3 linked regions of the Rattus norvegicus genome follow. Each later gene encodes a partner of the first gene's protein in a complex. Links are inferred from orthologs where the notes say so. Each region holds a gene or a part of one and is shown in the gene's direction. Other genes may lie near its edges.

Evidence for each region. The genes of interacting proteins can lie anywhere in the genome.
Region 2: the proteins of Ube2e2 (region 1) and Det1 are in contact, whole or in part, in a cryo-EM structure (PDB 9BJZ), measured with the Homo sapiens proteins. The link is inferred for Rattus norvegicus from reciprocal best matches to the Homo sapiens genes UBE2E2 and DET1. Residues at the interface, in NP_001357154.1 of Homo sapiens: Ala77, Gly78, Pro79, Lys80, Gly81, Arg88, Ser89, Thr90, Gly101, Val103, Phe105, Phe123, Arg124, Thr125, Arg126, Ser134, Gln135, Gly136, Gln194, Trp195, Arg198, Tyr199, Ala200, Thr201; in NP_001137546.1 of Homo sapiens: Arg258, Phe259, Tyr261, Asp264, Thr267, Val268, Phe272, Glu274, Asp289, Pro290, Phe291, Ile292, His297, Arg298, Leu300, Val301, Trp304, Arg305, Phe319, Phe320, Gln321, Phe323, Asp324, Arg327.
Region 3: the proteins of Ube2e2 (region 1) and Rlim are in contact, whole or in part, in a crystal structure (PDB 6W9A), measured with the Homo sapiens proteins. The link is inferred for Rattus norvegicus from reciprocal best matches to the Homo sapiens genes UBE2E2 and RLIM. Residues at the interface, in NP_001357154.1 of Homo sapiens: Lys52, Thr55, Lys58, Arg59, Lys62, Pro112, Asp113, Pro115, Phe116, Ile142, Asn146, Trp147, Ser148, Pro149, Ala150, Leu151, Thr152; in NP_057204.2 of Homo sapiens: Ser571, Val572, Cys573, Ile574, Thr575, Cys596, Arg599, Trp600, Pro608, Ile609, Arg611.

The regions. Positions count from the first base shown.
Region 1 is NC_086033.1:9,625,726-9,633,151, forward strand, and holds part of Ube2e2 (ubiquitin-conjugating enzyme E2 E2), read left to right. Parts: intron 1-5,544; coding exon 5,545-5,677; intron 5,678-7,426.
Region 2 is NC_086019.1:142,163,991-142,171,416, reverse strand, and holds part of Det1 (DET1 homolog), read left to right. Parts: coding exon 1-117; intron 118-3,061; coding exon 3,062-3,249; intron 3,250-3,861; coding exon of another isoform or gene 3,862-3,919; exon of another isoform or gene 3,920-3,927; intron 3,928-7,426. UniProt on the Homo sapiens protein: Component of the E3 ubiquitin ligase DCX DET1-COP1 complex, which is required for ubiquitination and subsequent degradation of target proteins. The complex is involved in JUN ubiquitination and degradation.
Region 3 is NC_086039.1:73,055,452-73,062,575, reverse strand, and holds part of Rlim (E3 ubiquitin-protein ligase RLIM), read left to right. Parts: intron 1-4,546; 5' UTR 4,547-4,569; coding exon 4,570-4,735; intron 4,736-5,506; coding exon 5,507-5,590; intron 5,591-6,806; coding exon 6,807-7,124. UniProt on the Homo sapiens protein: E3 ubiquitin-protein ligase.

The DNA.
Region 1 (7,426 bases):
ATTATATGTATATATAACACATGCTTCCCTTGCACTTACAGCACGTGGCTCTTGGCCCCAATCACATCTCAAGCACCCCTAGCTTCATGGCTGCTGTAGTATATAGCACACTTCAAGGATTTTTTTTTTTCACTCCAAAGGGTTCTCACTTGCATGTTGCCAGCAGAAGAGAGGTAGAGACCTATGTAGCTTGAGTGCTACTTTCCTAACTATAGAATTGCAAGTAGTGTAGGCCTGCTTTCTGAGGAGGCAAGGGCGTCAGACAGCTAAGACACAGCTAAGACACGGTCTGTGTGTTGAGCAGGCAAATGAAATTCATGTGCCTTGGAAAACCCCTGTCTGTTATAAAGACAGTTTGTTGCTACTGACAAAGCATTTCTTTAAAAGATACACCTTGGTCAGATAACACAACCCAGAACGATATCAGCTGTGTTCATTTAATCCACCTCAGCAGTATAGACAGCTGATTTCAATAAAATCTGGGTTTCTGATTGAAAGACAGATGCAACTCTATGAGCAGAAATTGATTTTAAATAGTCCACAGTGGGTGCCCTTCTTGCTAAGGTATCTGTCTTAGCAAGAGTCCCTCTCTGGATGGCACTGTGTGGTGACCACTTACTTGGCCCTATAGTATGTAACTACCTGAAGTTTCCATTCCTGGAAGATCACCTTAAACCTTCTCAAAGTGACTTCACATTTGAAAGTCTTTGACACACTGTTTCATAGCTGTGTATTAACTGAGTTTTTCCATCAGCCTTGAGATAATGTTGTAACTATAACTTATAATTTACTCTCCATAAACTCTTCCTCCTCATAAACTTCTCTCTTCACTGGGTTTAATTGTAGCCCAGAATGTAAGTGTGTCTTATTCATCCGAAGAGTGTGCTCTGTTGGCACAAGAGGCTGCTGCAGGTGCTGGCCTCTGCTTCACTACCAGATGGGAGGATGGGCAGAATGCTGTCTGGTCCCTTACTGTCTCACTGCCGTGCAGTGTGCTTGATTCCTCTGCACTGCATTAGGAACTGCGATTTTACTTACTGTATTTTAGAGAAGGAGTTGATCAAGAAAGATCCCAGGGGTTGAGAGTACTTGCTGCTCTTCCAAAGGACCTGCGTTAGTTTCCCAGCCCCTCCATAGCAGCTCACAACCATCGATAACTCCTGTCCCAGGGGATCCAGCACACCGACCAGGCATACATGTGGCACACATACTTGCATTCAGGCCAACCACACACCTAAAATAAAAATAACCCTAAAGACAAAAGAAAGAATAGGAGAGGGAGAGAGAGGGTGGGGGAGGGGAGGGGAGGGGAGGGGAGGGGAGGGGAGGGGAGGAGAGGAGAGGAGAGGAGAGGAGAGGAGAGGAGAGGAGAGGAGAGGAGAGGAGAGGAGAGGAGAGGAGAGGAGAGGAGAGGAGAGAAGGAGAGAGAGTCAAAGTCCAAATACATGAAATAAAACTGAATGGGGCATCATCTTTACTGCTAGATCTGTGTGATGCGGCTTCCCAAGTCCAACTTAACCCCTGTTCTCACACAGTCACTTATGGATTGACATCTTTCCAGTCCATATCTTCTCAAAACATATTCACTTATTAGTGGTATGGGAAATCGATCACAAAGCCTCATGCTCAGTAGACGAATGCTCTACCAATGAGCTCACCCTGAGGCCTGGGTCGGTTTAGTGTTTCGTTCTTGAGAATTTCGATACATGAGTCTTATGTGACATCATTTTCATCTCCTCTACCTCGCCCTCCCTCTCAGATTCATGACCGCTTTACTGCAGTGTGTGCTCGTGTGTGTGTGTGTGTGTGTGTGTGTGTGTGTGTGTGTGTGTGAAACCTGCTAACTTTCAGTGTTGCCCTCTGTATATATATTTAGGGCTGACCACTTGGGATTGGACGATCTATCAAGGAGCTTATCCCTGGAGAATACTTACACCCCCTCTCAGCAGCCATTGATGGCCCATGGCTCTTCATCAGTGGGTAGTGCTGGCTTCGTCAGGGCTTCTATTCCTGCACAAACATCATAGCCAAGAAGCGAGTTGGGGAGGAAAGGGTTTATTCAGCTTACACTTCCACACTGCTGTTCATCACCAAAGGAAGTCAGGACCGGAATCACACAGGGCAGGAAGCAGGAGCTGATGCAGAGGCCATGGAGGGATGTTACTTACTGACTTGCTTCCCCTGGCTTGCTCAGCTTGCTTTCTCATAGAACCCAAGACCACCACCCTAAGAATGCTACCACCCACAAGGGGCTTGTTCCTCCCCCAACCCCCTTGATCACTAATTTAGAAAATGCCTTAGAGCTGGATGTCATTTTCCCAAGGGAGGCTCCTTTCTCTGTGGTAACTCCAACTTGTGTCAAATTAACACACAAAACCAGCCAGTACAGGAGCCTTGTGAGATTACCCCACCCACATGTGTGTGTCAGCTCATGTTGTCATTGTACAGCTCTTGTTTAGTCAACCATATTTTTCTTCATATTTAGTGGATGTGGCTTCCCTGTCTCATGTAGTAGACCCTACTAACAACAGGCATCCTGGGCCTCTTTCTATCCCCCTTTCTGTGGTGTTCCTGAGCCTTAAGTGTAGGGGTTGTGTTATGGGTGTATCAGTTGGATTGGGGCATCCAAAAATCAGTTGTTCTCTACCTTAGGACTAAATGTGGATGTCTGCAGTTGTCTCCAAATGCAGTTGTTCTCTATCTAGGACTAAATGTGGATGTCTGCAGTTGTCTCCAAATGCAGTTGTTCTCTACCTTAGGACTAAATGTGGATGTCTGCAGTTGTCTCCAAATGCAGTTGTTCTCTATCTAGGACTAAATGTGGATGTCTGCAGTTGTCTCCAAATGCAGTTGTTCTCTATCTAGGACTAAATGTGGATGTCTGCAGTTGTCTCCAAATGCAGTTGTTCTCTATCTAGGACTAAATGTGGATGTCTGCAGTTGTCTCCAAATGCAGTTGTTCTCTATCTAGGACTAAATGTGGATGTCTGCAGTTGTCTCCAAATGCAGTTGTTCTCTATCTAGGACTAAATGTGGATGTCTGCAGTTGTCTCCAAATGCAGTTGTTCTCTATCTAGGACTAAATGTGGATGTCTGCAGTTGTCTCCAAATGCAGTTGTTCTCTATCTTAGGACTAAATGAGGATGTCTGCAGTTGTCTCCAACTGCTACAAAAGGAAGCTTCAGTGGGAGAGATGAAAGCGACACTTACTTGTGGGCATCAGGATCGGTGTTTAGAATACAGCTGGGAACTGCACTGGTTAAGGAGGCTGCCGTTGTGGTAGCCATGGTCCGGGATCTCGGCAGCCATGGGTAGTTGGCTGGGTTTATGGTACCAGGCATGAACTCCCTACAACAGAGGCGGCCTTAAGTCTCTCTAAATGGCTGTTAATTAAGACATGTAAGTGCCACTATTGTACCCTTGGGGGGCATCTTGCCAATGCTGGTTATTGTTATAGTTCATAAACTTTACAGCTGGGAAGGACACTGGATCAGTTTTTAACACGCAGTAGATCACAGAACTGCTCGTTTTACATAGCATTCTATAGCCCTTTTAATATGCTTTTCCCATATTACATTTGTGTTTATTTTGTGTACATGGATGTGTACGTGTGTGTTTATATACATGTCCTAGTGTACATATGAAGGTCAGAGAACACATTGCAGGAGTGGGTTCTCTCCAGTGTATACTTCCTGGGAAACCAAATTCATGACATTAGGTATGACAGCAGGCAACTTTACCAACTGAGCCATCTCACCAGGCCACATACTCTGGGATCACATCCATTTAAGTCCTTATCTACTCTAGGATCACGTCCATTTAAGTCTTATCTACCTGAGATCACGTCCATTTAAGTCCTTATCTACCTGGGATCACGTCCATTTAAGTCCTTATCTACCTGGCTCATACCCACTAACCAGCCTCTTTTCCTACTCTGTTCCTACTCAAAGCCACTGTTTCACTCTCCCTCTGAGACCAGTGCTTTACTTAACACTGTGAGATCACACAGCACTTGTTGTTCTAGACCTGACTTTGCTGAGCTCAGCACCTTCCAGGTCCACCCAAGATGCTACAAAGCCCAGACTTTCCCTCCTTCCCGACTGAAGAGCGCTGTGCTCCAGCACATTTGAGCGTGTTTATCTGCAGTGTGTAGACGTCGGACTCACCGTGCACCACTCCATTTTGCTTGTTACGCATTTATATTTACCAGTTGAATTGTTATTTTCCCGATTTTGATGAAACTAAATATTTTAAATTTTATTTCTACCTTTTAGAAATGTCTGCTGGTGTCTTTCTGATGGATTATTAATCTTTTCCCTGTTGATTGATATGAATTTATGATTGGGCCCTAAGATTTGGTCAGCTTTCCATGGTCTAAATATCATTTCTCAGTTTATAGATACTGTAAAGGTTTTACTTTTGCATGGAAGAGAAGGGAAGGGATTCTGGAAGAAGAAAAGTGGAGGGAGAAAGGGCAGAAAGCCTTCTGTAACCTGTGAGGATAACTTTTTCCCTTCTACTTTGATTGCTTAGTGAGGCGAGTTACATTTAAAATGGTATCATTGTGTAGTCTTATCTTGGTTATGATCAATTTTGTTACAGTGACTTTTGAGTAAACTCTTTCCCAAGCATTCATGATGTTGTCCACTCTGTTAGGATATCATCATAGTTAATAACCTGATAAAACAAAAAGAACCCTGGGAAACCTCCAGTTATTTTGGGTTTCCCCTGCCCATGAGGAGCTTTAAAGATCAGAAACACTGAGCAAACCCTGTACCACTGAGCTAGGCCCCCAGTGCCAAGAGCTAAATTAAAGTCATACTGTGGCCCTGATGCTCACTGGGAAGAATTAGCACCATTCACACTCGGCTTTATTCTTCTTAGTGAATTTGCTGGAGACATGGGTGTATGTTGGCCATTCACAGTCATATGACCTGCCCAGCCATTAGCCTGTCATTGCCAACAAATGTGTAGTTAGTTAGTAGCTAAAATCTATTCCTCAAGAAATGTTTATTCTAGGGAGGAACAGAGAAGAAGTTATAAAATACAATCATAAAATAACATGTCTTATCTAGGATATGGGGTAGTAGGGGGAAGAGGTTCCAAATGGCTGGGTCTTCAGAATGGTGGCTGTTCCCTGGTGTCTGTCAGGGACAGTCTGTGCTCTCAGTGCTTAGAGGGTTTGGGCCAGCCACTTTGCATTACCCTTTCTCACTTGGAAATTCTCTGCTATTGACCCAGAGCTGTGTCACCCCTCTCAGGTCTTCACACATAATCCCACATTCAGGCAAGGCCAGTGTCCTCGGAGACGTCTTCCATAGCGTTTGGGTTGCGAGCAGGACCTTCGGATCTGCTGGATTACATAATACCAGCATGTTGTATTTATAGGATGATGATGTTGACAGGAACAATATGATAGATAAAATTAATGTGTTGACTTTATTATGTTTTATGAAATGGCTCAATTTATTATTACCATATATTTTTTTAATTCCAAACTTTATGTAATTTCTAAGCACATCTCATTTGTGTGTCTTATTTCAGTGCTGGACCCAAAGGAGACAACATTTATGAATGGAGGTCAACTATATTGGGACCCCCAGGATCTGTCTATGAAGGAGGGGTGTTCTTTCTTGACATTACCTTTTCACCAGACTATCCGTTTAAACCCCCTAAGGTCAGTATGATGCATTGCCCGTTTTTAACATTCTGTGTTGTGATATGTATATACTGAACATATGTATATATCTATATATATGCACATCTGCTCTGTTGGCGTAGGCTGCTTCCCCGTACCCACTGTGCTTAAAAGGAAACGAGACGTGAGAAACCGTACGTCGTTCCTCTATCTTAACTTTACATGGGTTTCATTGCTCTTTCTCATTATCTCTTTTCTGCATATACAAGTAATATTACAGAATAATATTATAGAGAATACCATGTTTTCACCATGTCTGTGTAAATAGGAAAGTGGAATTACTCCAGGGTCAGGCTGCAAAGGCAGACTGTGGGGAAAGGAGGCTTCACAGAGAGGGTAACCACACGTGTCTGTGCTGCTGCCTCGGTCCAGGTGCTCGCCTGAAGCCAGAGAAACTGTGGTGATATCTTGGTAATACATTTGGAAATATTTTGAGGGCTGAGAGCATAAGTTGTTGGTAAGATCCTGGGTTTAATCCCTAATGCCAAAATCTGTGTGTATACATATATATGTATTTTCTAGTAATGGCCCATTAATATAACATATTGATGAAATAGAATTTCTTTAATGCCTAACACAAGTCAAGAAAGAGTACAGTGTAGTCAAGTCATGGGACTTCCTACTATTAAGATAAGGTTGTGTACTTTAGAATATCTTCTCATTGATCTCCGCTGCCTCAGGCTATTAGAACTTAGGCAGCATTCTGGCAGAGGAAAGACCCTGGGCTCACTGGCTGTGCCTGCTAGTCACCAGGGTAGTCTGTGCACCTGACACAGGCATGGTTGTAGGTGGGCCGTCACACTTTCCATGCTTCCCCTACATCGCTTTTCTTGCTTGGCTTTCTTCCTTCCTTTTCACCGATGCCCAGAGAGCATTTTGATGCCAAAAAAGAGTAACTCCAGCATCTTGCCTGCACTGTGCAGGGAGCTGCCAGTCAGGGCGTCCAGATCTGAGCTGAGACAGTCAACCCCAAACCTTGTTCCTTACCACATTGTACAGTGCACTTACGCATGCAGCCACAGAGAAATTGTTTACCGTCTGAGTGCACAGGAGCCGTTTGTCTGTCCTTCCACTGTACTTTGGAATGGCTTGTAAGCCACCTGCGGGGACACGTGGGACGTTCTCTGGCAGTCTCTGCAAGTCAGGGTCAGAGTGAAAGAGCAGATGTAGCCAGCCATCTACCTCTCAGGAGCCGCGTGTGACCTGTTTAGTGGAGTAGGCGTCTCAGGTGTGCACACTGACAGTGAGCTTTAAATTGCGTAAAGCTGCAAGTGAGAAGTGCTATGTTAGGTAAAAGAATCTTGTTTGAAGAGGCCTTGAGACAGTGAAGGATATTTGAAACTGCAAGATGTGGGGGCTAGAGAGATGGCTCAGTGTCTAAGAGCCCGCCCTTCCAGAAGACCCAGGTTCAATACCCAGCACCTACAGGGAGCTAACAACTGTCTGCAATCCGTTCCTGGGCATCCAGCGTGCTCTTGTGTGCTCCATGGCACTGCCTGCATGAGCTGCACAGACATGCATCCAGGCAAAATACCTATGTGCATAAAACTAAAATAAAACTACAGTCATGGCGTTGGCCATGTCTAAGTATGAGAATGGGGACGAGTATGAAGATAGAAAGGGAAGACCTCCTTTATCCTCATATAGATAGAATTCATGGGCTACAAACCTGGGGTTCTTTAATGGGACATTTTAGGAGTGTTTTAATTGAGCTCGTCACTGTAGGAA
Region 2 (7,426 bases), on another chromosome or scaffold:
TTTGACCAGCTGCGGCAGCTGCGCATGTGGAAGATGCAGCTTCTGGATGAGAACCACCTGTTCATCAAGTACACCAGCGAGGACGTAGTGACGCTGCGGGTCACAGACCCATCTCAGGTACGGGATGAGGTCTCCTGCCTGTGCCCCGTGTGTATCAGAAATGGTGCCGGTTTTTGCTATGCTTGGGTTCAGATTTAAAGTCAGTTCCTTTTTGTCTGGCATCACATATTGAAATTGGCCAATGGAGGAGGGTCAGCGTCAAGCCACTGCCATGTGGTTATGATCTCAGTCATTCCTCAGGACATTCTCAGTACCTGTCATACAGGAGCCCAAATGCTGTAAGGCCGGGGTTTGGACCACACATTTATAATCCTTCCTAAACTTTGTAAGACTGATTATTGAACCAAAAAGGTTCTGGCAGCAAGAATGAGCCCTCCATGCAAAAATGGAAGTCCTCAGGGACGGGTGGTAGAGAGCTTATTCAGGATATGAGGCTCAGAGTCCCTGGCACTGAGGACTCTAGGTATGATGGTAGGCATACTTCCATAATGCCGACAATCCCAGCAGTGGGACTGGAGGCAAAGAGAGCTTGGATTTGAGGGCAGTGAGTTCCAGACCTGACTGTGTTATGAGACCTTGACTTAAAAAGTTAAAGGAGGATAAGTGGTGACAAGAGGGACAGACAGACAGACCCGAGCTGAGTTCAGATACCTTCTGGGAATCTTTGAAAGCTCTGCACTAAGTGTGGTCTGAGTAAGAGGCCCACCTTTCTGTACCTTGCTTGCCCCCAGTCAATCCTCCTGCTTTAGAAACAGCAGTGAGGCAGATAGTAATCTAGGAAGTCAGCTGACTCTGCCTTTAAGGGATTCTAGACAGTGTTGGGGGTTGACCGAGTGGTTTAGGCATCTTTCTTGCAAGCATGAGGGGAGTTTGGATTCCCAGAACCATTGTAAATGCCAGATGGGTGTGGTGGCCTTCTGTAATTCCAGAGTGCAGGAGAAGGAGACAATCCCAAGAGTGAGCTGACTCACCAGCAAGCCGTGGCTTCAGGGGAAAGACACTTACCTTAGTGACTTAATGACTGCGACAGACAGTGCTGGAAGACCATGTGCCAGCCAGGTTTGGCACATAAAGTACACACACAACATACACATACACACATGTACCACATATGCATAAGAAACATACATTACCAAACCTGTGGTAAAATATCTTCCAACAGCAACCCCCCCAAAAATAATCACAGCTTATGTATTCTAAAAAGGGGAAAGTGATCAGACTCGAGTATATATTTTTTTTTCTTTTTTTTTTTTTCGGAGCTGGGGACCGAACCCAAGGCCTTGCGCTTGCTAGGCAAGCGCTCTACCACTGAGCTAAATCCCCAACCCCTTTCAAGGAGTTTTTTTTTTTTTTTTTTTTTTCTTTTTTTCTCGAGTATATTTTTAAAAATCTCTTTCTTCCTTGTTAATGATGGGTGGTGTTGCTGAGCCACCACAGGTGAACATCTAGTTCATCTTCTGCGTCATGGAAGATAGGTGGTAGAGGCCTTGACTTCTCTCCCCTCCTGTCCTTAATTTCCCAGTCTGCCGTAGAGGGAAAGCTGGTAAATGTTTGTGAAATTTTATATTCGCATAATTATGAAAGATCCTGTTAAAACCCTGATATGATCAAAGTGGTGTCCTGGTCTATAGATGGGACATGAGTCACTCTTTTATTTAGGTTTCAGCTATAATTACCTTTCTATTTTGGAAGGAATAAGTTGTCTGTTATCACAGTGCTGAGATTATCCTTTTTTTTTCTTTTGCTAAAAGGTGACCTATTTTTTCCTGGTAGTTGCAGTCAGCTATAACTGGGCATGCTGCTGGAGTTGGAAACTCGAAACCAGTCTCCACGCTCCAGTTGTCCTCTTGTCTCCCCTTCCAGTTTCATTTGATAAGTTCCAATAAGGTTAATGAGTAAGAACTACATCCATAGACAAAGCCTCGGTAATATTATGGGTATTGTTCTCAGGTTGTCTCCAGCCACTTTAATTTGCAGCCAAATTTAATTTCCAGGTGACTGCAAAGTCATGTAAGAGGAGCTCTGGGGAGGACTAATTACTACGAGACAGGTGGGCCAAATGGCTGCAGAGATGGGTAACAGATTAAAACTCAATCAAAGGAAGGTGAAATGCGAATCCGTGAGTCCCGGACATCTTAGACTCCTGCTGGAAGCTTGCAGATTTAGTTCACACTGTAGTGTTCACTGTGACAAAAAAACCCTCAAGGTACCTAGAGCTTCCTTCCTGTTAGGCAAGGCAGAGCACTCAAGGTGTCAAGGAAAAGGCCCAGTCGCCCAGGGGTCCCTCCATTCAGGAAAAATGGTGACTGCCACCTATGGCATTTGAATGCTTTTCAGGTCCCTGCCCCCCCATCCTAATTGGCAGAAATCTCAAATGTACCTTACAAAAGCTCTTGGCTGAAAGAACATTTATGGAAAGGAAATGGGAATGTCTGTCTGACTTTTCATTTGTTCATCCGCAGTGCCCTGCGTGGATACAACTTGTCCAGGCGGTTTAGCACACAATGTGCTTAAGGCGTCTCTCTGCATGCTAGAAATATAAGAGGGAAAAATAAATGCCCCTAAATTGAACTTTCAACTGTACACATAGAAGAGAAAATCATTTACCAACAGGCAGCCCTGGGCTGCAAATCACTTTCCCAGCAGGAAGGAAAATTAAATCTGGCATTTTAAAAACTTTTTTTTTTTTAAAAAAATCTTAGGGTAGATTGGGGAACAAGTAGCGAATAAACACTTGGAAGGAAAAATATTGAATTTGTACAGTTTGAAATGAAAGACTGAAAGCCTTTTTATGTATACACGCGGGCCAGCTCAGTAATCCTAGCGGCGCAGTAGCACGGGAAACCTTGTGGCATCAAGGTTCTCAGCAGTGCTGGTTCCTCCATCCCCATCTAGTCCCAGGCGGGGTCCCTGAGTGGGTTGTTGGGTGTCGTGTGTTTCAGGTGAAGTAGAAAGTTACCTAGGCATGACCACCCCATTGGCTGCCTGTCTTCTTCTGCAGGCCTCCTTCTTTGTGGTGTACAACATGGTGACAACAGAGGTGATTGCCGTCTTTGAGAACACGTCAGATGAACTTCTGGAGCTCTTTGAGAACTTCTGTGACCTCTTCCGCAATGCCACCCTGCACAGTGAAGTCCAGTTCCCTTGCTCAGCTTCTAGCAACAACTTTGCAAGGCAGATTCAGCGCCGGTAAGCTGTTCCTCCAGGCCCTGCAGGCTTAACTTCATATGGTTGGCCTTAGGCTGGTAGCCATTTGCTTCGGGACACTGTGTTCCCATCTGGCCTTGGTAGGTCTGCCTGTTGCAGCCAACTCCTCTGTCATCCTGATGTTTTCCCATCTCTGAGGACCTGTGGTTGTTGGTACATCTTCCGGGTCCTTCTTAGACCACATGTGAGCTGCAGAGAGACAGAAACTATGTCTGCTTATTGTTCTATCCTCAGTGGTTCACTGTCAAGTCCTTAAATATTTGAGGAGTGAGTGGTGGAGATCATTTTAGAACTTCTGGTTAATATGGCGTGTTGAACACATCCACTTTGCTCTGCTCCATTGGAAAACCCCTCTAAAAGTCTAGGGAGACATAGGGGGGTGGCCCTTAAGAACAAGACAAGCCAGAACTGTAGATGGTTTTGGAAGTAGGAAGTCCATGGCATCTAAGAGCCTTCTTAGTATATCAGCACGAAAGGAACAGCTCCTTTGGGCTAAAGCCCCGGGTAGTCAGGCAAGGCCTCCTTGGCTTTCATACCTAAATTGCTCTAACCTTAATGAGGTATGGAAAATATCTGTTTTTGGTCCCCAAATAGGCCAGACCACATTGAGCGGATGAGTCAGAGCAAGCATTGCTGCTTCTGGGAAAGATGAGCAAACAGGTAAACTTACTACAGCGGCTCCGTGCCTGTGCACAGGGACGGTTGTGGGCTAGATGGACTCTGACACTCGTTTACCCTGCCCGCTCTCTGACACACCTGTCTTCTGCCTTAGTAGCACCATTCTCTTCTTTTCAGTTGAAAGCAGTGTCTCACTGTGTAGCCCAGGCTGGTCTTGTGTGCTTCACCTTCCCCGGTCTTCCTGGTGCACACGTGTGGAACACTTCCCTCCCTTTTTGATAGCAGTGTTGGAACTTGAACCTAAGAGTCTTCTTTCAAAATTAACTTTAAGTTAACCATTTCATTAGCAAGTTATAGAAGGTAGGTGTCCTAGTTTGCTTTCTGTTGCTTTGATAAATACCGTGACCAACAGTAGCCCGGGAGGAATGGGTTTAATCCAGTTTCTATTTCCATGTCACAGTCCTCCGCTGAAGAAGGTCAGGGCAGAAATTCGAGGCAGGAACTTGGAGGCAGGAACTTGACAGAGAACCAGAGAGGAATGCTACTTACTGTCTTGTCCCTGGCTCATTCCTAGCTAGCTAGCTTTTGATATAGTCCAGGGTCGTCTGCCCACAGTGGGCTGGGCACTCCTTCATCTGTCATCTGTTAAAACAGTTCTCTACAGACAAGGTCACAGGAAATGCTTCAGTTGTGCTTCCCAATTCCAAACTAGCTAGTGCAGTGGGCACCCTCAGTCACATGATCAAAGAGCTGAGAGGAGCTGTAAGCTCACTTAATGAGTTTAGATGTTTTTCATGCCACCTAAGACTGAGACATTATAAATGTCCTTGTACATCTTACCCGCTGCCACTATCTTGAGTAGATTCTGTAAGCTCCACGGTCGTAGTTTACTGTACTGAAAATATAATGTACATGGGAATTGAAATTATTTTTTTGTTTCTTGTGAATACATGGCTCCTAATGCAAAATTGTGTGGTAAATGTTCTCTAGTAATCTTTATGTAGAAAAGCAAAAAAAGCAAATAAACATGTAGGTCATGGGTTAGCACAAAGCGTGCAAACAGACACAATGGACTCCTAAGACCTGAATCATGTAAGAAATTCATTTATCCTAAGAGAATCCCCGTCCCCATCCCCCATCACCCCCCCCCCCCCAAAAAAAAAAGACTAGGAAAGGAAGAGGCAGAATTGTGGCCACTGCGACACCGGGAGATGTAAGCAAGGGTAGTCCTAATGCCAATGCTCTAGGAGACCTACAGTTGTTAGATTAGCGGTTGAACTCTCCAAGGGGAAAGGGGGAGTGAGGGAGGGCATAGGGAAATGGGAAAGGAAGAGTTAAAGGAAAATTGAGTTCTGTACCTGATGTTCCTAAGAAAGAAATCGAGGACCAAAGAGGTAGAAACAATATGAGTACTTCCTAATCCTGAAAGCTAGATCATCCACGACTATTGGAACCAACATGCGGCCAGTGGATTGTTAAACATAGCCATTCCTAAGCTGTAGCTAGTCCCTTGACATGATCCATGTTTCTGAGACTATGTTATCTGATGGTGGGGGCTGCGTCGTGCAGCGCTATGGATCCTCTCCAACTGTGTTTGATGATGTCATGGTGGTGCCATGAAATTGGCCACAGCAGGCAGCACAGAAATTGGCAAATGCTACAAATGATGCCCCTTCCCCTGCCAAGAAAGATCACCCATGTTACCAGTATTCTGGTACTTAGTATAGTCAGTGAGGAAGGGCCCACTGGAGGCATTGAAACACTGGAGCTAAAGGTAAATTACAAACACTTGGAGCAAGGACTTACATGTCACATGCAAAACTCTTACTAGAATGGCATCAGATTGGTCAGTGACAATGCTAAGCACTTAAGATGTGAAGAACTTGCCTTCACAATTTTGTGAAAAGGATGATTTCAAGGCTTGGGAATGTAGTTTAGTACATTCAGTACTTGTCTGGCAGTCACACGACTCAGGTTCAAACCTGTCTCCACCTGTAGAGTCACCCAACAGTGACTGACACACACACACACACACACACACACACACACACACACACACACACACACTCCCGTCCCCCCCACCCCCCGTCTCTCCCTCTCCCTCCCTCTTCCTCTCTGAGAGTCCAGGCTGGTCTTGAACTTAGTTCTTCTGCCTTGGGTTCCCGAATGCTGGAACTACAGATTACTGTGCCTGGTGAAAAGGATGATTCTCATTTAGAATCCTATATTCTAATAGAATAGAACACAGATATTTTCACATCTGTGAGACAAAACAATAAAATCACCTTCTATGTGTCTTTCTGAGGAAACCTTTGGAAAACATGTCATCAGTAGACCACAAGAAATGGGTTTTGGGGGGCTGGGGATTTAGCTCAGTGGTAGAGCGCTTGCCTAGCAAGCGCAAGGCCCTGGGTTTGGTCCCCAGCTCCGAAAAAAAAGAAAAAAGAAAAAAAAAAAAAAAAGAAGAAGAAATGGGTTTTGGGCAACAGGGAGAGTCAGAGTTCTGAAGGTGCTGTACCGGAAGCTACAGGGTCGCAGGTCACAGGTCAGACCTGAAGGGTATGGGAAAGTGAAGGATCCAGGAAGGAACTGTTACAGGAAAAGGCGGAGCTGGGGTGGCATCTGGTGGGTCTGAGTGTATCACCACTGCTGTTGTGGTAGGGGTGTCAATGATACCTAAGCAGAGCTATTGAAGGAGACCAGGAACTAACCCAGAGTTAATCAAAAAGACAGATGACATCAGCAGAAGCAATAGCAAGCCCAAAGCCACTGAGGTCTTTGAAGGACACTAATGGTGGCTGGATTGGAGTGAGCAAGGAACAGAAGTCAGAGATAGGTGCAGAGACACAAATGACTGGCTGTCCTACAACTTCAGGTAGTACAGAGGAGTGTTGGATGATAGTGGGGTGTTCTCTCTCTCTCTCTCTCTCTCTCTCTCTCTCTCTCCCCCCCCCCTTCCTTCCTCCCCCTCCCCCTCCACTGAGGACTGACCCTGGGGGCCTCTGGTATGTTTGGCAAGTGCTGTGTTGCCGAGCTATATCCCCAGCCATCTTTTTATACTTTTATTTTAAGGAGGTTTCACCAAATTGCCCAGGCTTGTCTAGTCTTGTTCTTGAATTTTCAGTCCTGAAGATTCTCAGTGTCCCAAATAGCAGAGATTACAGACCCATGTCACTAAACCAGATAATTTTATTTTTTTGTTTTAAACTGAGAAGTAATAATGGCATGTTTGTGTGTTGATGGGACTGATCCTGGAGAGGATCCTGCCTAGTGGGTGGGAGGGGATGAGATCTGCCACCCAAATAGAGAGATTGGAGTGCCATGCAGGAGCAGATGCTCTGTGGGGACTTTAAAAGGTCCTCTTGCGCTTTCCTGTGTTTGTCAGTGACGAACTAGGAAAAGATGAGTAGCTATGGAAGAGAGTGGGAGGCAGACTGGACTGTGGAAGTTCAGAAGAGTATCCTCCCACATTGAGAGCCTATGTGGCTGTGCGGCCATGAGGTCAGAGTGAGCATTACTGTTCACTTCCCCAGCCGCACAG
Region 3 (7,124 bases), on another chromosome or scaffold:
AATTTTCTTCAAAGTGTACTTGCAGGTACCTCATGTTCTGTGACCTGAGCTAGAACTCACCATTATGACTTTCCCCACAGGGTGGATGTCCCTTCTCAGTGCTGAAATCTCTTAATTTACTCCACTCTTAGCCAGTGCAGAATTAAAGCAGAAAGGATGGAGAGTTAGGACAGAAGTGGGGGATGAATTAAATCAGATTTTATTCTCCTTGTCCCCAAAGTAACTATATACAACAAATTTTTCTGATGGAAGCCATTGCCTTAGCAAACACTTCTATTTAGCAAGGCCTTGCTAGTTTGCTTGCAGTTTTGGAATAAGAAGCATTTTGAAGAAATAATATGTATCTGTGAGTGTAGAGGGAATATAGAACTGTGTCATTATGGAAGTAAAAGGATTTTGGAGCTGGTCTCAATGACATTTTAGTTCAGAGGGTCTTTTGAAGTCAGTCTACTTTTGTTCAACAGATTTCAGTAGTTTGCTTGCTTTACGGTGCTGATTACATCTCCATTTGGGGACATTTGTTATGCCTTTGTATTGAAAGGAAGAATTATTGGCTTTCCTGTTCTTGTCAATTCTTGGCTCTAGTTTGACACTGGTTGTATTCTCCTTTGCATAATACCCTCTTCTATTTGTTTCTTCCTTCTTCCCCTATCCTTTTTTTCAAAATAGGGTCTCACATAGTTCCTAGCTAGACTACAACTCACCATGTAGACCAGACTGGCCTTGAATTCACATAGATCCATCTGCCTCTGTCTCTGCCTCCTGAGTGCTGGGATTAAAGATGTGCATTACCATGCCTTGCCTTTCTCTTTGTTTTTGCTGTACTTTATCTAGCCTTATTACCTTTGATATAGGGGTTTTTTCTTTGTATTTTAGCCCATTCTCATTGTCACCTGTACTATTCTGGCTGGCCTATGTAAACCAGGCTGGCCTCAAAGTCAGAGATTCATGTGCCTCTGCCTCTTGAGTGCTTAGATTATATGTGTGTGCTAACCCACTGAGTTTAAATACTGTTTTTTAAATTTCCATTTTTAAAAAGTCTTCTGCTTCTAGGTTTAATCTCCTTGATGCTATTAAGACTGTGCCAGTGTTGTTGGCATGTGAGTTTTATCTTAGGTTCATGTTCTTCAAATGTCAGAATTTATCAGATGTTTTTGCCTTCTTTGGAAAATTTATATTTTTAAAACCCGTTCAACTGGCAGATATCTGAAATTATTTACTGATTTTTTTCACAAGTAGATTTCTTCCTCACTTTACTGCCTGGAATGTTGATGGCTTTAAGAATGTTAATTAAACATTAGTGGTGGTTTTCTTTAGGACATTATGGCTTGAGGATTCTGTTTTCTTTCCCATTGTGTTTTCTGTTTTAAAAAAGCAGCTGCTGCTACCATTACCAATACCAGTTTGTGTTACTTGTAAGGAAAATGGCAGCTTGTGTTGTTTTTTTACATTTGTTTATACTTCTTGGCCCATGTTCTTTTATGACTGTTCACTCTAATTTCTGGCCCTTCCATAGTGGCAAGTTATTAAAACACTTGCCAGAAATTTCTATAAAAATTAAAGAAACTTTGTAATGAGCTAGGAAACTGGAAATACTGTGGCCCTACCCTCTACCTCCTTGGCCATGTTCATCTTATTGACTTAAACAGTAAAAGGCTAGTGTAGAGAAGGGTGATGTAAGGGAAGCAATGCAAGTCGGAGTGGGACTATTTCTAGACTATTTAGTAAGTGGGCAACATGTGATAAGGCCTCTTTATGCTTTCTTGTAAAATCTAGAATAGGATTTGGATTTTATTTTTTAGAGACAGTCCTTGTATCTTGATTTGGCTTTGAACTCTTGCCTTGGACTTGCAAGTATGAGGATTATAAATGTGAGCTACTATACTGAGGAGGTTTTGTTTCTCCCTTTAGGACTGATTTATGAAGATACTGGTACATGTATGTGGGGGGGAGGAATAAATTATAGTTCTCTCTACCACAAATTTATTTTCATACTATCATTGTTGGTTTGGGCTACTATAATAAATAGAATGGCCTAAGCTGTTATAAACAGCAGAAGCTTAGAGAGTTCATGAAACTGAGTAGTCAGAATCAAGGCCTGGGCAGCTTGATGTTTGAGGGTTGACTTCATGGTTCTCACTGTATTCTCATTGAAGAAAATGTCAAGGTAGCTCCAAAGGTTTCTCCAAGAAGATCACGCTAATCCTTACTTCCTAATGCTATAGCTTTGACGGTTAGGATTTCAGCATGGGAACTTGAGGTGAAAGAGAACACAAAGTTCCAGAAAGGTTCCCCCCCCACACACACACCCACCATTTTTTCCTTGCCTTTTTTTCTGTTTTTGTTGCTATTTAATTTTGGTTTTGGTTCTTGTTTTAGGATGAGGTATTACTGTGTTTCCCAGGCCAGCCAGGAATTCAAAATCCTCTGTTCTCAGAGCCAGGCGTGGTAGCTCATACTTTTTCTACAGTACTTGGATCATGGAGTCAGGGATCCAAAGTTTGAGGTCAGCCTGTGCTACATGAAACCATACCTTAAACAAATATCCAAACATCTTTTGTCCTCAGTCTACTGAGTATCTGAGATTACAAGCTTGTGCTGCTGTGATTGGCCTGATAGTTATTGCTGATCAATGTCAATGTGTAATAATAATAATAGTTGATTACACTGCCACCTAATTAATACAAGTCAACCAGTCAGAAGAAGGTCATTCTTTTTAGGGAACAATGTTCTCAAGTCTAAAGTCAATATATCTTAGTGACCACTTGCACTGTTTGTCCACTGTGGATGACTTGAAATGAGATTTTTTTTATACATGTCTTCATTTTTGTGTCATTCATAAATTTTGGGCAGGGATTGTACATGTTACATCTTTGAAAATGCCTTTTCACGTGCACGTACCAGGCTCTTTAGTAATCCATAGACATGATTTTAATGGTGCGTGTGCATCTCTTAGAGATTCAATTCCCAAGTATAGCTTTTAGGGTATCATTAGAATGAGCTGCTATTTCCCCTTCAAGGCTATATGTATGGGTGTTTTGTATGGGTTTATTTTTTGCCTGCATGTATGCATGTGCACCAAATGATTGATTAGTACTTCTAGAAGCCAAGAAGAGTGTCAAATCCCCTAGAGATGGAGTTACAGATGGCTGTGAGCTATCATGTTAGTAATTACGGAGCCAGTGCTCTTTGTTTGGACTAGGGGCATGGTTTGAGACATGACATAGCTTTAGCTATCCTATCTTAAAATTCACTCTGTAGACCAGTCTGACTTTGAACTCCCAAAGATCTGCCTGCCTCTGCCTCTGATTGCTGAGATTTAAGGGAATATGCCATCACTGGCTGGCTGGAGCCAGTGTCCTTAACCACCGAGCCATTCTCCCAGCAATGAAGTTTAAAATGAGGAAATTTCACTTTTCGTTTTTGGAAGTGTAGTTGGAGCTCAGAGATCTGCTAACTGCTAACATCAAAGGAATAGAGTTCTCCTGTCTTTGATAGCCTATTGTACCAGTGTTCCTACCAAGTTTTGCATGTACTGCTTGTCCTCTTATTCATTAAGAAACATTATGAAGTTATAGCCAAACCTAATTCCTCAAGGCATTTATATTTTGAAGGTAATTGAAGTTGTTCTCATTAAGAAAAAAAAAAAGATCTTGACCCAAGTTCTACTAATCACAGTAAACTCTAACCAAGTTAAGCCTGTGGCTCAAATGAAGCAGGTGGATTGCCATGAGTTCAGGTCCAGCATAGTGAAACCCTCTCTTCAAAAGAGCTTGGTGGATTTCTGACAGAATCCCAGCACTCAGAAGGCAGACCTCTGAGTCTGAGGCCAAACTGGCCTACAGAGTGAATTATAGGCCTGCCAAGGCCACATAGTGAAATCCTGTCTCAAAAAAAAGTTTTTAACAAAAACAAATCCATACAACTAAAGATGATTAAAGCCACAAGAATGAGGTTTATATTGACAGTGCTGGTTCATTAACATGATGGTTCATATTTTTTCTAAGTATTTGTTGAACAAAATAAAATGAGTGAACAGAGGCTTAAACATCTTAAGTTTTGATAAAATTAAATAGTCCAACCAGGTTTTTTCCTACTCCATATATTTTTACCATTTTAAAACACCTCTAATCCTCCCATTCAGAAAGCTAAGCCAGGAAGATTGTGTTTGAGTTGACTGGACCACACAGATTTCCCTGGCTCAAATAACTATGAAAACCTGGAGCTGGATGTGTATCTTCATGGTGGAATGCATGCAGCGAAGGCCCTAGGTTCAGTTCTTACCATGTCAATGTAAAAAGCCATTTTTAGATTACAAGGAAGATAAAAGTAGGCCACATTGTTGAATTAGGCCCAAGCACTACAGTTTGCTAACTCTCTGACCTAGACTTCTAGTATACCAGTGTTTTCCCAATGTTTTTCTATTCTATTCCATTTACTTGTTTTTCTTAAAATTCACCTCTATGCCTGCATTGTGGTTTCCAAGTAGAGAAAGATCTAGAATACATAAAGGCGTGTGTTTTCAATTCGGTCTCTTTCTTTTTAGATAATTTCCACTTGTTCATCAAGATGGAGAACTCAGACTCTAACGATAAAGGAAGTGACCAGTCTGCAGCTCAGCGCAGAAGCCAGATGGATCGATTGGATAGGGAAGAGGCTTTCTATCAGTTTGTAAATAATCTCAGTGAAGAAGATTATAGACTTATGAGAGACAACAATTTGCTGGGCACCCCAGGTAAGCTACATGTAATTTATATATGTAAGTTGCTGGGTTTTTAAGAAAATTGTTTTATAATGTTTCTTTAGTTAACGAAAAATTACTAATGCAGGAGATGCCAAATGGCATTTACTACTATATTTATTGTCTGATTTTATTCTTTTATAATTAGAATAGTCTTGTCAGATATGCTTGTAAGTTTTGAGTTATAAGTCTTTAGTGAAATGGATTAAATAAGAATCGAGCTGGACAGTTTAGCTAGTTATGCATGCAGGTACAAAATAACCAATGGGCCTTTGGTTTCTAGGATAGACTCATCTTATTTTGTCATCTCATCCTTCTCTCTGAATATGTCCCAACTGCAACCCTACAGAGTTAGCTGTGGGTAAACCAACTGCTGGAACTTGTCCTTAGTTATTCTTTCACTGAGATACAATCTCCTCTGATCTTAGTTACAACTCAAGTCTGTTTCCACTAACCTGCAGACAATTTCATTCAGTTCAAATGGAAGGTTTTAGCAAGGTGGAACATTTTGAGCTAATAGTACTAAACTTTAATTAGAATATCTTAACTGCAATTACGGCCCAGATGTTACTTGGTGTGCTTTTTGGCAAAACTTAAAGTGCAGAGCACAAAGCCCGACATGACATGGTGGCATGTGCCTATAATCCCAGCTGCACAGGAGGCTGAGACAGGAGGTCCTTGAGTTTGAGGTCATCTTGGATGGAAAAAATACAGAAACTGACTTGCTGTTCATTTGTAATTTGGCAAAAATTGTTCAACTTTCAGGCGAAAGTACTGAGGAAGAGTTGCTCAGAAGACTACAGCAAATTAAAGAGGGTCCACCACCACAGAGCTCTGATGAAAATAGAGGTACATTTTGTTTGGGGAGGTGGATAGAGGTTGGAAAGATAGGAACTTTCCAATAGGGAATATCAACCAAAGATTATCCAGAAATTCCACAAATTAATCTGGTGCTAAGTACTCATAGAAAGAGAAGTGACATGTTCTTGATATTTGGGGAGTGCTGTGGCTGCCTCAGCTTTGGATTGTGTTAATTGGGCAACAGTGAAAAGTCGTCTATTTAAGTTGAGATTTTCCTCCTCTTGGTTTTCCACATCTATTAAAATGTTCTCCTACTCATTTCCTTATATATAAGCATGGCTTTATCAGCAAAAGGAAATGCTGCTTCGTTGGCCTAGCACCTTTCATTAGTTGTTTGTTCCTCTTTGGGAGGGGCATTAGCAATGACTGGAGGCATGTTTGGTTGGCCCAGCTAATAAGAGTCTGCTGTTACAGGCAGGGAGCAAGTATGCTGGAGAATGGTACTTCTCTCTCTGCAGGAAATAAGCCTATAACCTAGGAGCTGTGATAGACGTTTAATTTGTGAACATACTGTTAGTTATTGCTGTTACTCTAGGTTCAGACTGTTCATTTGATAATAGTCTTTAGTTTTATGAAAGTTGAAAATCTTGATAATTGACAAATATTCAAGTAAATATAAACTGTTAGCCTTGTTTATATTTTTGCTCGGGCTATAAACATTTTAAAACAACTTCATGGTTATCAAAGGCAGTTAAGCCCTAGATGAAGTAATAGAGACTGATGAAATTTTGGTAGAAAATCCCAGTGCTAGCTGTCCCTGACTAGTGATGTTGTAGTTGATTTTGTTTAGATGGTGGCTTGGAAAATCCATGTTGCCTTCCCACAGTCTCACAGCATCTTCTAGAGCAGTGGTTCTCAGCCTTCCCAGTGATGACCCTTTAATACAGTTAGTTTCTCATGTTGTGGTGTCCCCCAATCATGAAATTATTTCATTGCTACTTCGTAGCTGTAATTTGCTACTGTTATGCGTCATAATGTAAATCTGCAGATGATCTTAGGTGACCCCTATGAAAGGGTTGTTTGAGTCCCCCAAAGGGGGTTGAGAATTGCTGAGTCTTAAGTGTCTTAGCTTTCTCTTTTCAATGTAAATTTGTAACATTTGTTCAGAATTGCAAAGTTCTTTAATGTTGTTTATGAGTGTTATGTTTCATGATTGTCCTAATTTTGTAGTTCCTTTCTCTCTCCCCCTCTTTGTTTTAAACAGCTGGAGAGTCTTCAGATGATGTGTCCAACAGTGATTCTATAATAGATTGGCTTAATTCTGTCAGACAAAGTGGAAATACAACAAGAAGTGGTCAGAGAGGAAACCAGTCCTGGAGGGCAGTGAGCCGGACTAATCCAAACAGCGGTGATTTCAGATTCAGTTTAGAGATAAATGTTAACCGTAATAATGGAAGCCAAACCTCAGAGAATGAAAATGAACCATCCACTAGGCGTCTTAGTGTAGAAAGCATGGAAAGCAGCAGCCAAAGGCAAATGGAAAGTCATGCATCTGAATCAACATCTGCCAGACCATCTAGAG